4 linked regions of the Canis lupus familiaris genome follow. The protein of the gene in region 2 interacts with the protein of the main gene of each other region in a pairwise test. Links are inferred from orthologs where the notes say so. Each region holds a gene or a part of one and is shown on either strand. Other genes may lie near its edges.

What was found.
Region 1: the proteins of GABARAPL2 (region 2) and KIAA1958 interact in binary tests that used the Homo sapiens proteins (3 or more experiments, as listed by UniProt). The two-hybrid records come from large-scale screens. The link is inferred for Canis lupus familiaris from reciprocal best matches to the Homo sapiens genes GABARAPL2 and KIAA1958.
Region 3: the proteins of GABARAPL2 (region 2) and FUNDC1 interact in binary tests that used the Homo sapiens proteins (3 or more experiments, as listed by UniProt). The two-hybrid records come from large-scale screens. The link is inferred for Canis lupus familiaris from reciprocal best matches to the Homo sapiens genes GABARAPL2 and FUNDC1.
Region 4: the proteins of GABARAPL2 (region 2) and TBC1D9B interact in binary tests that used the Homo sapiens proteins (3 or more experiments, as listed by UniProt). The link is inferred for Canis lupus familiaris from reciprocal best matches to the Homo sapiens genes GABARAPL2 and TBC1D9B.

The regions. Positions count from the first base shown.
Region 1 is NC_049232.1:67,371,527-67,375,884, reverse strand, and holds the start of KIAA1958 (uncharacterized protein KIAA1958 homolog), read right to left. Parts: upstream 2,805-4,358; 5' UTR 2,746-2,804; intron 1-2,745.
Region 2 is NC_049226.1:75,815,043-75,819,332, forward strand, and holds the start of GABARAPL2 (gamma-aminobutyric acid receptor-associated protein-like 2), read right to left. Parts: upstream 2,829-4,290; 5' UTR 2,214-2,828; coding exon 2,180-2,213; intron 1,856-2,179; coding exon 1,800-1,855; intron 667-1,799; coding exon 494-666; intron 1-493. UniProt on the Homo sapiens protein: Ubiquitin-like modifier involved in intra-Golgi traffic. Modulates intra-Golgi transport through coupling between NSF activity and SNAREs activation. It first stimulates the ATPase activity of NSF which in turn stimulates the association with GOSR1.
Region 3 is NC_049260.1:38,703,762-38,707,880, forward strand, and holds the start of FUNDC1 (FUN14 domain-containing protein 1), read right to left. Parts: upstream 2,844-4,119; 5' UTR 2,713-2,843; coding exon 2,685-2,712; intron 1,985-2,684; coding exon 1,828-1,984; intron 1-1,827. UniProt on the Homo sapiens protein: Integral mitochondrial outer-membrane protein that mediates the formation of mitochondria-associated endoplasmic reticulum membranes (MAMs).
Region 4 is NC_049232.1:2,093,310-2,095,635, reverse strand, and holds part of TBC1D9B (TBC1 domain family member 9B), read right to left. Parts: intron 2,170-2,326; coding exon 2,107-2,169; intron 1,686-2,106; coding exon 1,579-1,685; intron 819-1,578; coding exon 132-818; 3' UTR 1-131. UniProt on the Homo sapiens protein: May act as a GTPase-activating protein for Rab family protein(s).

The sequences.
Region 1 (4,358 bases), on a different chromosome or scaffold from region 2:
AAAAGTCTCAACCATGAAGAGTGAAAAATAATTTATACCCCTTCCTAACCACCAACATACAAGAAGAGAAATCAGCTGAAAATATGTAAGGTTCTCTGGACTGCTTCGGGCTACACAAAAAAATACTGTTTATTATACAAAAACAAAAAAATGAATACCCATATATCACAGCCAAAAACAAAAACAAACTAGGTGTTACCTCTTAGCCTGCCCATGGGAAGACACTACACTGCCAATCCCAGAAAACTGTTGGCATAACTACAAGTTGCCAAGCAATTCTCAACACAGACCACACTCTCTTAATATTTAATTTACACCGTGACTCTGTTAAACCTCATCCCTCTGACTGACAGATAAATACATAAACAATTCAAGTTATTAACTTATCTTTTTAAAAATTCCTAAGCACTGGGCAGCCCCGGTGGCCCAGCGGTTTAGCGCTGCCTTCAGCCCGGGGTGTGATCCTGGGGACTCGGCATCGAGTCCCACGTTGGGCTCCCGGCATGGAGCCTGCTTCTCCTTCTGCCTGTGTCTCTGCCTCTCTCGCTGTCTTTCATAAATAAATAAAATCTTTAAAAAAAAAATTCCTAAGAACTGATAAAGAGTGTGTGTAATCAAATAGCTGGAACTCCGGGAGTGTGTTCTGACTCCATCCCACCATTCCTAATAAAGCCTGAACAAATTTCAATACCTATGCTCTTTGGGCCGTCCTTACCAGAAAAGAAAGTGGAATCTTGCACAAGGGCCTACTAGTGCCTTGCACTGAACCCTATATGCCCTCTACATTCATTCAGCTAATCTAGAAAGGAAGTCAAAACAAGAATAAAATTTGATCAGTTCAAAGGGACTGGTAAGATTGTTAGATTAGATGTAGCATCTTCTAAGTTTTAAGTGTATAAAAATGTACAGCCCAGATACTTACAACGTTGGGCATGCAATAATAATAATAATCTGTTAATGTAACTAGGGCAAACATCTAGGCTAATTTTTTTCTTCTGGAAAAAAAATGACTTTTCGGCACACTGAAGCTGTCTCCGCTTCATCATGACAAAAATCATTTTGCCTAATCAAAACTGTATTAACATTGTACATTGCTTTCTGATGAATTTCTGTATCCTACTTGATGAAGATTTAAATAAATTCTTTTCCACCACAATGTTTTTCAGATGTTTAAGAAAGCTTCTGGTTTCTACATACAACTCCACATATACGACCTGAGTGCACCCAAAACTATTTTTTCAGTCTCCTTGATAACCATCAGATTTAAATTTGTCCATATGGATTCTCACACGGCAGGAAAGAGAAAAAAAAAAAAAAAGGTCTCCAGAAGTGAGCCCTAGACTGAGATTCATACAAAGATATAAATTCGTGCCTGCACTAAAAATGTGAATCTGTAAAATCAAGTTTCTGGGTGCTCATTCAACTTCATTTACAATTTGGATACCTACGAATACACATCAGCTCTTCACAAGAAGCTCAACCAGATGAATAATATAAGTCGGAAATATCACCTACGCTACTTTGCAAAAAAACTATTTCCACCATGTACGACCCAATCGTGGGGTTTTAGAGAGAGAGAGAGGGAATAGACACACAGAATAAAAGAAGGAAAGCACACTCACGGGGGGGGGGGGGGGAGAGAAAAAAAAAATTAGTTCTAACATTTATGTTCTCCTCCCTGTGCTGTGGAAGACCTCAGGCTCTAAACCAGCAAAAGATAAAGGTTTTAGCCTGCACGGGAGGCTGGATATTTACTGCATTTGCATTTAACCTCCACCGTGGAGGCTGTCAGCCAGCACCTGACTCGCTTGGTAACTGTTTACCTAACAGGTAGGAGACTGTCTTGCTAATCCTAAGGAGTCTGGGAAATAACAAAACTTTATCATCAAACTTTAAAATATGTGCATATACATATATATACATATATGCAAAAAGAAAACCAAAAGGTAAAAATCCCAGCCATGTTCATCTTCGATTTGCCTGTAAGTCCCTGCCTAACCTTAGAAGGAGGAGGAGGAGGAGGAGGAGGAGAGGCAGCACCTGAACACCGACTCGGCCCGCGAGCGTGGCTGGGGCCGGGGGCCGGGGGGCGGGGGGGCGGGGGGCCGGGGGCCAAGCTGCTCGCAGCCCGGTCGGGTCGCGGGGCCCGGGAACCCGCGCGCGTGGGCCGCGGCCTCGGCGGGGGGGTGCGGGGGGCGCGGGGGCCTCCCGGGGACGCCGCCTCCGTTGGAGACAATAAATAAGGGGCCGGAGCGCCGCTCGCCCCTGCACGGCCGCGCCTCCCGCCGGCGGAACAAGTCGGGCAGAGCCCCGAGCCGCCTCCCGCCTCCCGCCTCCCGCCTCCCGCCTCCCTCCCCGCCAGCGCCTCAACACTTGGAAACTACGAGGGCCGACGGCTCCTTCCCCTTCCCGCCCTCCTGCCCCCTCCGGACAGAGCCGGGGCGGGCGCGGGGGAGCCGGACCACGCAGCGCGGCGGCGGCGGCGGCGGCGGGGGATGCTGCGCGGCGGGGGCCCCGCTCGGAGCTCGGAGCCCGGGTCCCCCCCGCGCCCCGCGCCCCGCGCCCCCGCCGCTGCCCTCACGGGCTCCCGGCCTTCCCCCCCCCGCCAGGAGACAAAAGAGGGTTCAGCCGGGTCAGCGCTCGGCGCCGCGGACCCCAGCGCGGCCGCCCCCCACACAAAGGGGCTCCCGGCCCAGGGCGCAGCGTCGGCGCGCTCGTCCCCGCCCCGCGCGGGCTCTCACCCACCTGCAGGTGTCTGTGCGTCTGTCCATAGGAACGCGGGCGGCGGCGGGGGGGGCCGGGGGGCCCGGGCTGGACGGGGCGGGACCGAGGGGAGGGAGGGAAGGCGGCCGGAGGCCCGGGGCGCGCAGGCAGGGAGCGCGGGGAGGGCGCCGGGCGGGCGGCGGGCGGGGGCGGGGGCGGGGGCGCGGGCCGGGGGGGCGGGGGCCGGGGCGCCAGCCTGGCTCTGCGACCGGCGCGCGCCGCTCCGTGCGCCCCGGGCTCCGCGCGCCCGGCTCGGAGCTCGGAGCTCGGAGCGCGGCGGGCGGGGGGCGGGGCGCGGGCGGGGCGGGGCCGGCGGGCGGGCGGGGCGGGGGCTCGGACCCGGGCTCCAGCCGGCACCGGAAGCGCGCCGCGGGCCGCGAGACCCACAGGAAGTGTGTAACGACACCGCCGCGGAGCGCTCCGAGCTCGCGGCCGCCGCTGCCCGCGGACGTGCGCCCCGACCTTCCCGGCGGCGCCGGCGCGCACGGGCTCGCCCTCCGCGCCCAGGCAGGTGCGGCCGGCGCCGCGTGCGGGGGAGGGGGGGGGGGCGGGGGCGCCCCGGCCGGAGACCCCACGCCCCCCCCCCGCCCCGAGCCCCGGGGAGCGTCCCCCAGGCGCCAGGTGCAGCCCCGGCCGGTGACCCCGAGCACCGCCCCCCCGAGCCCCAGGGAGCGTCCCCCAGGCGCCAGGTGCAGCCCCGGCCGGTGACCCCACGCCCCCCCCCCAGCCCCGGGGAGCGTCCCCCAGGCGCCAGGTGCAGCCCCGGCCGGTGACCCCGAGCACCGCCCCCCTGAGCCCCGGGGAGCGTCCCCCAGGCGCCAGCTGCAGCCCCGGCCGGTGACCCCACGCCCCCCCCCCCCCCCGAGCCTCAGGGAGCGTCCCCCAGGCGCCAGCTGCAGCCCCGGCCGGACCTTGCGCCGCCCGCTGTAGCACCTGTCCTAAGGCACCGAGCGCCGGCACCTCTACATCCAGGTTCGGGAACACCTCCTGCTCGCGGGCAACCCAGTCACCGCTGCCCAGTGGAAGTTCCCAGTCCAACTACCGCACTCGCGTCCATCCCATGGCGGGGGGGGGGGGGGGGGGGGGGGGCATGACACCTAAAACACACGAGGACCACCGAGGCAGGCACTGATTCCCCGCCCCCCTACGCACCTCGGGACCACAGGGGCAAGGCTGGCGCCCCCCACCTTTATTTCACGTAGCAAACGCAGCACTTACTGTATGTGAGCGTCTCTAGGTGCTTAGGGACTATGCAGCTGCTTAATCCTAAGAACTCTATGCAGTGGGTGTTAGCACTGCCCGATTATGGATGAGGAAACTGAAGCGGAGAGGAGTTAAGACACCTGCCCAGGATCACAGAGTAGCTGGAGGAACCCGGATTCGTCCCAGGCAGTTTGGCGCCAGATTCCATGCTCTTAACTTCCTTTCTATTCAGTAATAGGTAGCTCCAAAATAATAATAATAATGGCAAGTAAATAATATGTAAAGCACATCTGATTAGCCATACGTGGTGCTCACAGCCTGGCCTCACCCCACTGTGACCAGGGAACCTCAGCCCCTCTTGCCCTTGGGGTATATCAGGAGAGAGAAGAATA
Region 2 (4,290 bases):
GAGCCTTTTGCTGGACAGCAGCCATTCCAGCATACCTGAGGATCAGACAGCTACACACTCGCAGTGGCACAGAACTAAGTTTGGAGAGCAAGCAGGAGGATGATTAACTGAAGCTGAGCCTCAGCAGGGCCCACAAGCCCCTAGTGGAGAACGACAGGACTTATTTCATGGGTCATTTAAAGAAAACCTAATTTTAGGCTCATTTAGGTTCTAGTGATGGCTTAAGCCTAAGTAAATCCTGAACTGTTTTAAAGTATTCATCAGGGTCTGAGGCTAGATTTTTTTTTTTTTTTAAGTCCAACCTTGTTCTATTTTCTTAACCCAAAGTATATTCCCAGATACTGTAGCCCTTTCTTATTTTCCTTGAGCTCCTCATGTCAGGGAGCACAACATCCAGATTTCCAGTCAGGACCTCTAAGAGTTTTCTCACCTCCAAAGTTTAGAGTTCTGTAAGCAGCCAAGCAGGTGGCCAATGCTAGTAAACACTTCTCACCTGGACTGTGGGACTGTCTTATCCACAAACAGGAAGATTGCCTTTTCAGAAGGAAGCTGGATCCTTTTCCTGATGATCCACATGAACTGAGCCACAGTGATGTCAGATGGAACCAAATACTTCCGTTTGTCAATGTCGACAATCTGAGAGCCTGAGACTTTTTCCACAATCACCTGGGAAAGCAAAGAGAGATCAGGACTGGGTTTCTAAAGTGAGGCTCTGGCCTTGCATTGCCAGGGAGCTGATGAATACTATGTGGGCAAGGAGGTGGGTGGGAAACTGCACAACACTGGAAAATATGCCCCTGATTTAATAAACCACAAACTCTTAACTCTGGAGGTTAAGAACTGACATAAATGTATGATATGGAAACAGAAAGTGCTTTTCTGTGGTCAATTATGTTTATCATCCTGCATCTCAGCGAGCATAAGAGAAACACACGCCCTTACTACAAAGCTCTTCGACATTTTGTCTGGGCAGACCTGAGATACCTGGTTTCATCTACAGCCAGTTACTCCAAGACTCCAGAATGAATCTGCCTTCACACTACAGAGGAAGTAAGATCCCAAGGAACAAAGGGGAGAGGAATGGATGGACTAATGGGAATGAGTAAACCAAGCTCCTCATTTGGCCTGTTGCTTCTCCCTGAACTAGGTTTCAAATGTGTCCCTCCTAACCCCTCCTCAGAGTTTTGCTTGTTCAAACAAAGAGCTACAATAACAGACACGGATGTCCTCTAAAAATCAGTAAGAATTATAGAAACTTTACCCCTACCACGGAAGAAACAGGATCTTTATTACTGATTAAGGAGGAACCACGAAAGAAGGGAGTTCTCAGAGGCTTCTCAGATTTTTTTTGGTCAGCAAAGGATGACAGGGTCAGAGTGAGGAAAGGGAGCTAGAAATCAAGTAAAGACAGAGGCTCAAAGTTAAAGATGAGTGTCCTGAGACTAAAGTACCACTTCTAAGACCAAAGTGACAGTCTCCCTCCACCAGTGTTCCCAAAAGTGGCAGTGACCTGTTGCCCTGTCCTAGAACATCGTTCCTTACATAATTGGCGAGGGAGCCCAGAGGCTGCAGACAGCTCGCTGGCCTAGATCGGGAGATTCAGCACTGAGGCACCCTGAACAGCACCTGCTCAAGCCCCTCACGCCACGGCCCCCAAGGCCCCGAGCCCCGTCTGGCTTGTCTGCTCCTATAACTGGGACTGGAACCTCAACTTATCAACTGCTGAGTGGCCCGGGGCCCTATCGCGAGTCCTAGACGACGGGGTGACGACGAGGTGAGGGGGCGGGGAGTGCACTCACCGGAACGCGGTCGGGGTATTTCGCTCGGATCTTCGCGGATTCCACGCATCTGTGTTCTGTGGGAAACAGACGGGGCTGCCGGTCGCGCCTGCTCGTCCGCCGCTTCCCGCGCCCCCGACCCACCTCCCCCAGCGACCTGCGCACGCCCGGGTCCTTGTTACGGCGTCTCGGCGGCCTCGGTCCTCGGCCCCCGCCTCCCGGCAGGAGGGCAGAAGGCGGCACAGCGTCCGTGGGCAGCCGGCGGGGGCGCCGGGGCCTCCGCGACCCGAGGCCACAGCTCGGCATCCGCCCCGCCCGGCCCAGCCCAGGGCGGCCCGAGTGGGGGAGGGGGCCCACCCGCCGCCGCGACCCCCACCACCCGGCCTCTGACGGAGCCTTACCCAGCGAGTGGTCCTCCTTGAACATCCACTTCATGGCGACGGCGGGGAAGGGATGCAGCCGGCTCTCGGAGCCGCGGAGCTCAGCGAACCAACCACAACAACAACGACGGCAGCAGCGGCGGCGGCGACTACACGGCAGGCGGGACTTCCGGCTGCCGGAGCCTAGCAACCGGCCGGGGGCGGGGCTTCCGGCGCAGTTCGCCGGGACGCCGCGCCAGGGGGCGTGGCCACATTCAAAGGGGCGGGGCGAGCGGCGAGGCGGGGCGGGGCGAGGCGAGGCTACGAGGAAGTGGGGCTGATGACGTTGGCCACCCGGCAGTCCTGGAGGGGTTTCGGTGACGGGGAAGGGGATGCTGTCGGGAACTGCTAACAGGAACCGGGTCTCGGCGGACGTTGGTAACGGGAAGAGGAGTTTGGGGGTCTGGCTGATAGGATAGGGCGCTCAGAGGGCTTTTCATGAGGGAAGTCTCGGTGTCGGGAATTTTGGAGCATGAGTGACAGACGAGGGGTCTCTGATGGTCGATAATGGCGGGGTGGGGGAGATCTGTTTAGCGCATTGACAGTTTGGGGAGTATTGTTTGGAGTGGTAACAGGTTGGAGGGTGTGGCTAATTTGAGGGGCCTGTGTGGGGAGAGGTTCTGATGACAAGCCGGGGGTTCAGTATTGGAGACAGCCAAAACAGGTGGCCTTGGACCTAGAAATGGAATTTAAACAAAACCCTATTTCCTTCCTTTTTTCATGAATAAATAAACGTTTGACTAAACATGTAAGCACATGTATCACAAATAGACATTTGAGGAGCATAACATCTCACTGATCACAAAGAGACCCCTTAACCTTAACTACAGAGGACTTAGAGGTGACTGTCTGGCTGAGAGAATTCCCCTGAGAGTCATGAGACAAATTTCTTTGGCAGTCAGCATGGAGTTCAGCAATCACAGTCTAGGCTGTGCGTACGTGTGTCACCTGCCTGAGCATATGCCTTGAGTTCTCCAGTGATGTCACCTCTTTCTTCCTAGCAGAGTCATCAGGACAGTCTGCTCTGGGTCAACATCTGTTTACTAGCTGGTGAATATGTAACAAGAATATTCATTTAATTGGGCACATGATCCTTGTCATGTGCTTATGATTCTGATGCATCTGAAAGGATTGCATGTGTGAATATTGTCGTTCACCATTTCCCATAGTTGTAATTCCTGATGGATGCTGTGGAATCTAGCTTCATTCTAGAAGCATTTTGGTTATTTTAAGATTGTCTGAGCAACCAAAATAGGCTTTTGTTTGCTTGCTTGTTTTTAATGAAGTGAAAAGCCCTTTGAATTTCATACCTAGAAATTATTACTGCTGCATACAGGAGCACTGTTCTAGGTGTTGAGGAAAAGCAGTGAACAGAACATTCAGCTGTCAAGGAGTTTCTAGTGGGATAAGACAACAAATGTCAGGTAATGGTAGGCGCTGTTTAGAAAATAAAGCAGGGTTGGTGACGAGTGACAGTGGGGTAATGCTAATCAGGTAAAGTGGTTGGCATAATCAGGGACAGGAAGGAACCCCTTGTGGCTGGAGCTGAATTAGCAAGGGGGGGTATGTTAGAAGATGAGATCAAAGATATGTGTAACAAAGCTGTTGAGTTTTTTTTTTTTTTAAGATTATTTATTTATTCATGAGAGACAGAGAGAGAGAGAGGCAGAAACACAGGCAGAGGGAGTCGCAGGCTCCACACAGGGAGCCCGACGTGGGACTCGATCCCAGGTCTCCAGGATCAGGCCCTGGGCTGAAGGCAGTATTAAACCGCTGAGCCACCCGGGCTGCCCAGCTGTTGAGTTTTGAATTTCATGTGAAGAACTTTGGATGTTATTTAGAATGAAATGAGAAGTAGAGGATTTTAAGCAGAGGTGTGACATGGTATGGCTTTCCTTTTGAACTGAGCAGGCTAGCTTTTTTGTAGACAGACTCTAAGGGTTTGAGAATGGAAGTCAGGAAAACAATTAGGAAGCTATTGTGATAATCCAAGTGGAAGATGATGTTGGCCTAGACCAAGATAATGTCTGTGGGGATGGTGGGAAGCAATTATATTCTAGATATATTTTGAAGGTAGAGCCAACCAACAAAAT
Region 3 (4,119 bases), on a different chromosome or scaffold from region 2:
ATGTCTTATCATCAAAAACCTGTAACTACCTACAGCTGCATATAATCTCTTTAGCCTCCCATGCATATCCTGAACCTGATATGCTTCTCCTTAATGCATTCCACAATATTATTACAGAGTTCAGAGTCTGCAATGTTAACTGGTTAGGTTAATGCCTATTAACCATTCCTCCTTAACACATGCCACGATAGTACATCAGTTTTCTACCTTAAGAAAATTGCAGAAATTTACTGCACTGAGTCTAAAGTCATTGCAACAAACCACCCGTGTAATATTGGAGTCCTATTACACAGCTCCTGAGCCGACGACACCTGGCTGTAACCCAAACATACGTATTACTATAAAGACCACAGCTGCCAGTAGGGAAGTCAGCAACAAAGGCTCTGATGGGGGGGGGGAGCAGCAGCCAAGTCACAAGTACATCCCAGAGACCATGTCTCACAAGCATGTCTATCCTTTGCTTAACAGCATGAGCCATCAAAATTAAACTACTAACTTCCCCTGCTCTGTCTCTAGGCTTTCCAAGCAAACTTCTGCCAATTATGGGGCTTCTCACCAAGTCTGGCCTACAAGGAGAATGCACACAATGTGATAATTCTATCGCTTAATTATTCTTTTAGTGTCTTTTAAGATGGGGCTTTAGGCCCAGACTCCCATTAACCAATCAGCCATGGCACCAACGTGTGAGCTTATGTGAGCAGAGCACCAGACTCCATTATGGAGGATCAAGGTACAAACTATCTGTGGAGGATCAACTGAATAACCAGGGCCCTGACCAGGCATCTCTCTTCTAGTTGCAGGTCTTTTCATAAGCAGCATTAATAAGCACACATCATGAAGAAATACTGTACCTTTGCATCACAGAATCTTCACAATGCATGTTTCTACCATAAAATAGCATTTACAAAAAGGCATAAAGGAATGAACCTTGTTCTAAGGTACATATAAAACACAAATCAAAAAGCTTAATGCTTATCAAGTTTAAATATGTAAATATTTAATGTAAGATAAATTTAACCTAGAACTAAGGGAGAAAAATGATTACTCACAAGCTAAGCACTCCCACAAACGTCAAAAATTCTCCACGATCATGAACATTTTCAAGATAAAGGGCCATACTTGTTTGACCCTTGTTATTTGGCTAATCTTTTATTCCAAGAATAACAACTTGATCTACAGTAGCAATCATGTCATCATGCAGCCCAAAACATTAATTGGTTAGTTAGGTTAATGCTTAACTGCTTCTCCTTAATGCATTCCACAATATTATTACAGAGTAAGCAATTGGTCCTTCAATTCCAACTCTTCTTCAAAGTATTATAATAATCCAAATTAGTCCACAAAAATCAACAGAACCATTTGATTCACAATAATTTTCATTGAGAATTTTACACGGCTTTCTACAGAGCTCTCAATCCTAGAGACCAATTCTACTGTGGGAGTCCTCAAAGGTCTTTCCAGTTGTTAGCATTGCACAAGTAAAAATTATTTACATATAATTAGCCCTCAGATGGATCTTCCTTTTTACCCACTCTCACTGAATCAGATACACTACATTTGCTAAATGTGAGAAGGTGGAAAGTACGTAAAGAATCAAAGGAAGGGAGAGGGACCAGGGGAACAAGTGGTGGGCGTGGGGAAGCCAATCACCAAAACCACTGTCTCCAGACTGTAGATCACACCAATCATATCACAGAGAAGAGCCTCAAGGTAGAGCTCTTCTGGGATTAACAGTGTAAAACCACTGAATGCGCTCAGTAACTGGCCTGTTTACGGAAGGGCAGCAGTAAGGCTGCCAATGAAATCTAATGAAAAAGATGTTCTCACCAGCCAGTCACTCCACCCATTACAATCTGGGTGGCTACCGAGTATTTTTCAACCATAGGTCCGGAACTGTGGCCAAACACTCGATTCCACCAATGGTGTCTTCTTGCATACTCAGTTAAATCCAACACTTCATAAGACTCGTCATCGCTTTCATACTCTTCAAAATACAAAATGGAAAAAATAAATTTAGAGTTAACCAAAAGTCAGAAAGGTCCTTACATTTTTTAAAAAATCTGTCATTAACTGTTACTTTCTTACAGCTAAAAATGCCCAGATGGAAACCTTAGGTTGTTAAACCCCACACCTGAGACTAGGGCCTCAAGAGTAAAAGGGCCTAGCATCTCCCTTCCAAAGGCCCAGGGACCGGCCTAGAGGCCGGAGCCAGAGCCACGTCAGAGTTACACAGAAGTGAGGGGTCGCCTCCCCAAATGGCAGTAAGGCCAGGTCAGACTTTCACGGCATAAACGGTCGCCCCCAAATCTCAGTCGGGTCAGGGCCCGAGCTAGAGATCCATTTTCATCAGTGGGACAAAGAGGGGGTCCTCCACTGACAGAAGCGGTTAGGGGCCTGGCAAGATGAAATTACTTCAGTAATTCATCAGAAATGCCAAAAAGCACGTCTGAAGATGGAAACGAAGGGCCAGAGGGGAAGGTAAGGCAGGAAGCAGGGCTGTGTTGGGGTCGGGGGTCGCTCTCCGCCAGAGTTCAGCCGTAAGAGGAGGGCGTCTAGTTCTAAAGGGGTGCGTCCAAAAAAGAGCCCCTGGATCCCTGGGGCAGGGGAAGAAGAGGCGCCCCCGGGGGCAAGGTCGAGAGCTGTGAGCCACGTCCGAGATACTACTTCGGGCCCCGGCCGCTCACCTTGGGGAGGGGGGTTCCGGGTCGCCATGATACCGCCGGCGGCCTGCTCTGAAGGTGGTCCCCACCCGCCCTCCTCTCCCCACTACTTTAAGAGACCTTCTAGGCCCAGGTGAAAGTCTATGGTCTCTTTCTTTCCTCCTCCCCTTTCAGGCGCGTTGTGTCGTCCCCGCCCCTCCTCTCAGCGCAGGATTTTCCGCGCAAGCGCAAGCCTCCGGGTGGGAAGCGTGGGGGAGGGAGGGGAGCTGCCGCGCGAGGGCTTGTGGGAAGTGTAGTCCGTTGCCCTCCGCAGTCCTCGCTTCTCACCCCACCCCCATCGCTCCTAGAATCTCAGTAACTATATTTTGTGATTCTGTTTTAAAGAGCCTCAAGGCTGGAGGAGAGGCGGCGTCACATGATGATATAAAGCGAAAAGCAGCTTGGCATGCTCAACACTGTACCAGAATGCAAGCGCCTGAGAAAAAAGGCTTTTAAAGGGAGATAAGAGAAACCGTGTTTCAAACCGCACTTTTTGTACGGAGGCAAGGGCACGACAACAGATGGAAAATTTTTGTAACGTGCTGCTGCTGGGAACGGGAACCTGTTTATCCGCTCCCTCTCCACATGTTTCCTGCCAGGAACCCAAGGGAAGTAGAGAAAGGCCTAGGGACTGACCTGACACGATGTTCAAGAGGACATAATTTTTTTTTTTTAGCATCATTTTTATTATTTAAGTCTGACAGAGGAACGAGGTCAGGCTCTTCACCCAGAAGCCCCACCAGATTCGAAAGCCGTGTTGATTACCAAGCAGCTAACTCAGGTTCATATAAACCGGTCCCTAAACCTGTTTCGAACTTGCAGGACCACCTGCATTTGCTGTACAATTAAAAAAAGCCCTCTCTGCACTTGTTTTAATGGAAAAACAAGGAATTCAGGTACAGGTTGTGTAGGAGCGCAGGGCAAGCTGCCCCCAAATGTACTGCGCTGGCATATTGATTATTTTGAATTGAATCAACCCAGGAAACAACCTGGTACAAGTACACTCAGATCCTCCTTTGTCCCCCACTGAAAGCAGGAAATAAATTTCCCGTGTGAAAAATGCCCTCCCTGTACTAAGTAAAAAGACGTCCTTATCACCAGAGATAGGAACTTTAAAGTGGAGAAAGCTGGAGAAATGAGCCTTGTTATTTATTTTTTTTTCCTAATCTACTACCTCACTCAGCCCAAATTCTGTTCAGAATTCCTTACTAACTAAAGCTCCCAAACCCCTATTTTCTTTGTCCTGTCAATTCCTCAGGAATTTCTTGTCTCTGTCTAAAATATATCAAAACTGCCAGCCTTGGTCATTTCTTAGGGTCTCAATTTCATTATTGGACTTCCATGCACATGTAATAAAACTTTTTTTCTTAACCTCCTGTTCACCTGTCTCCTATGAATTCAACTCCTAAACCAGCTAGAA
Region 4 (2,326 bases), on a different chromosome or scaffold from region 2:
CAGCTGTGGCCATTCAGCCTTTTTTCCATTCACAACTGACTGCGTCTGGGGAGAGCAAGAGGGGTGCGTCCTTAAGGAGAAAAGAGAACACGAAGGGGGAGGGGGAAGCAGAGAGACAGGCCAGGTCCCTGTCAGCCTGAAACTCCAGACTGTTCGAGGTCGCTGGAGGTGCTGAACTGTCTCTCCACCTTCTTCTGCTCCTTGATCTTGAGTCCGATGTCCACCCTCTTCTCAAAGAAGTTCACCAGGACGGACTCCGTCAGGATGGAGGCCAGGATCTGCTCAAAGGAGATGCACCAGTCTGTGTCTACAGCGCCGCCACAGCGGGCGGTGGCTGGAGGACTGCGGGCCTCCCCGCCCACCAGCACCGTGTCGTCAGCCAGGTCCTCGCATGGCAGGGAGCCAGTGCTGACCACTGAGTAGGAGGACATGGACATGTCGTCTTTGGTTTCGTCGTCCGACAGAAGCTGGGAGGGGGAGCCCCGGCCCTCGCCGCTGCCCCCTTCGCCCACCACCTGGCTCTCCTGTGGAGCTTTCCCGAGGTGGGTGTCTCCCCCGGCTTTGGCCTGGGGATCCCCTGTGGCTGGGGGCTGAAGCTCTGGGGCTGGGTCCTGTGGGGGTTCAGTGGCCACGGGCTCGTCCTCCTCGGGCACACCATCCCTGGGCTTCCTGCCCGGCTGCGCCGAAAACTTCTTGCCCACCTCACCGATGCGGAGCAGCAGGCTTGCCACCGTGGCGATGGCATGGTACAAGTCCTGCTCCATGGGGTCCTCGCTGAACATATTGTAAAGTGTCTTGCACAGCTCAATGAACTGTTCCTTTTCAGACGAAACACAGAAAAAAGGTCAGGGAGATGGGAGAAGATGGGTCAGCCTGACCTCAGATCAGCCAGACTGCCCGTGCTCTGTAGTCTTGTTAGCTGTCTGTACACCTGTGCCTTGTTACACCCACGTCACAGACTGGGACACTGAGACACAGAGTGGGAAGCTTACTTGACCGATATCACATAGCCTCAGAAGAGCTTTCTTTTCCAACTGCCTTTACTTTGAGCATAGTCTCTTCCCTGCCCCTAAGTCCACTCTGCTAGCAGAGCCACACTGATTTCTGCCATGACTTTCCAAACCTGGTCGGTGGCTACTGAAGGACTTCTTCAGTGTGTTTTGGAATCACTTTGAGTTTCGTACATCTTTGATCAGAATAGATGGTGAGGACAAGCAAACACAGCCTGGGTTAGCTGTGGGGGATGGGGGGGGGTCTGACGCCTGCCTGTGCCCGGCCCTGGGGAGGAACAGGAGTGCTGTGAGGCTGTCTTGTAAGAGGGGTCATGTGAGTCTCTACAGCTATTCTAGTGGATGGATCCCAATTAAATGTGAACAAGTCATCACCAGGAGTTGGCTCCAAAGCAAGTGGACTCCTGTCCCTCTGGAATCATCCCTGACTCTGACTAGCAGGTGTTGGAGGCAGGCAGGAGAATTTCCACCCTTTCAGGGGTTTTGGGAGAGACGGTAGGGAGCTTTTTGGGTCCGGGGAACCCAGCCTTGGAAATGTCTGTTCAAGGGGGGCTCTGAATGGGCTTACCTGGTTCATTTTGGGAAGATCCTTAATGGTCTCCTTCTGAACCTCTTTCTCTTTGGCCCACATGCGAAGGTAGTGCCGATAGTCGGGAGGGCTGGTCCCCTTCTCCTCTGTGAGTTGGGAGAAAAAAGATCTGTCAAGTCAGAGACAGAGCTGGGGCCAGGAGCAGGCAGTGAGTGGGTTTGGGGGCTGTCTGGCATGGGGTTACTGGGGCCCGCTTACAAAACACCCCAGTATCTGGGGAGGTGGTGATGGGAAGAGCACCCAGATGTCTCCCCTGAGTTATTACACTAAAGTAGGTTTGAAAGGACATGGAGGTTGATGAGAGGGTGGCAGGAGAGGGACAGGCTGGGCTCCTAGAGGGAGGTGGGGGTGGGTTGGTATTCACAGCTAGGAGAGTCAGGTCTGGGGCTGAGAGGGGCTTCCTCTGGCAGCAGAGGCCGTGTTTGCCATTTCCCTGGGAGGGAGGCCTGCACAGACCCCATCAACCCGGGATGTGCGTGAGCACTGGCCACACTGGTCTGCCTGTACCTCCTCTCTTTTCTTGGACGTCCTCATTTCTGCTTCCCTCTTGCTCTTCCTGCTGCAGTGCTTCTGGACAACCGAAAAAAGGGGAAAGTACACAGAGAACATTCTTGTGTTACAACCGCAAACCACGGAGGCCTGTGAGCAGATGGGTCTGTTCTCCCGTAGAAGCCCTGCGCTGATGCTTTGCACCTGGTTACAGGGACCCAAAGTGCCACCAAACCCT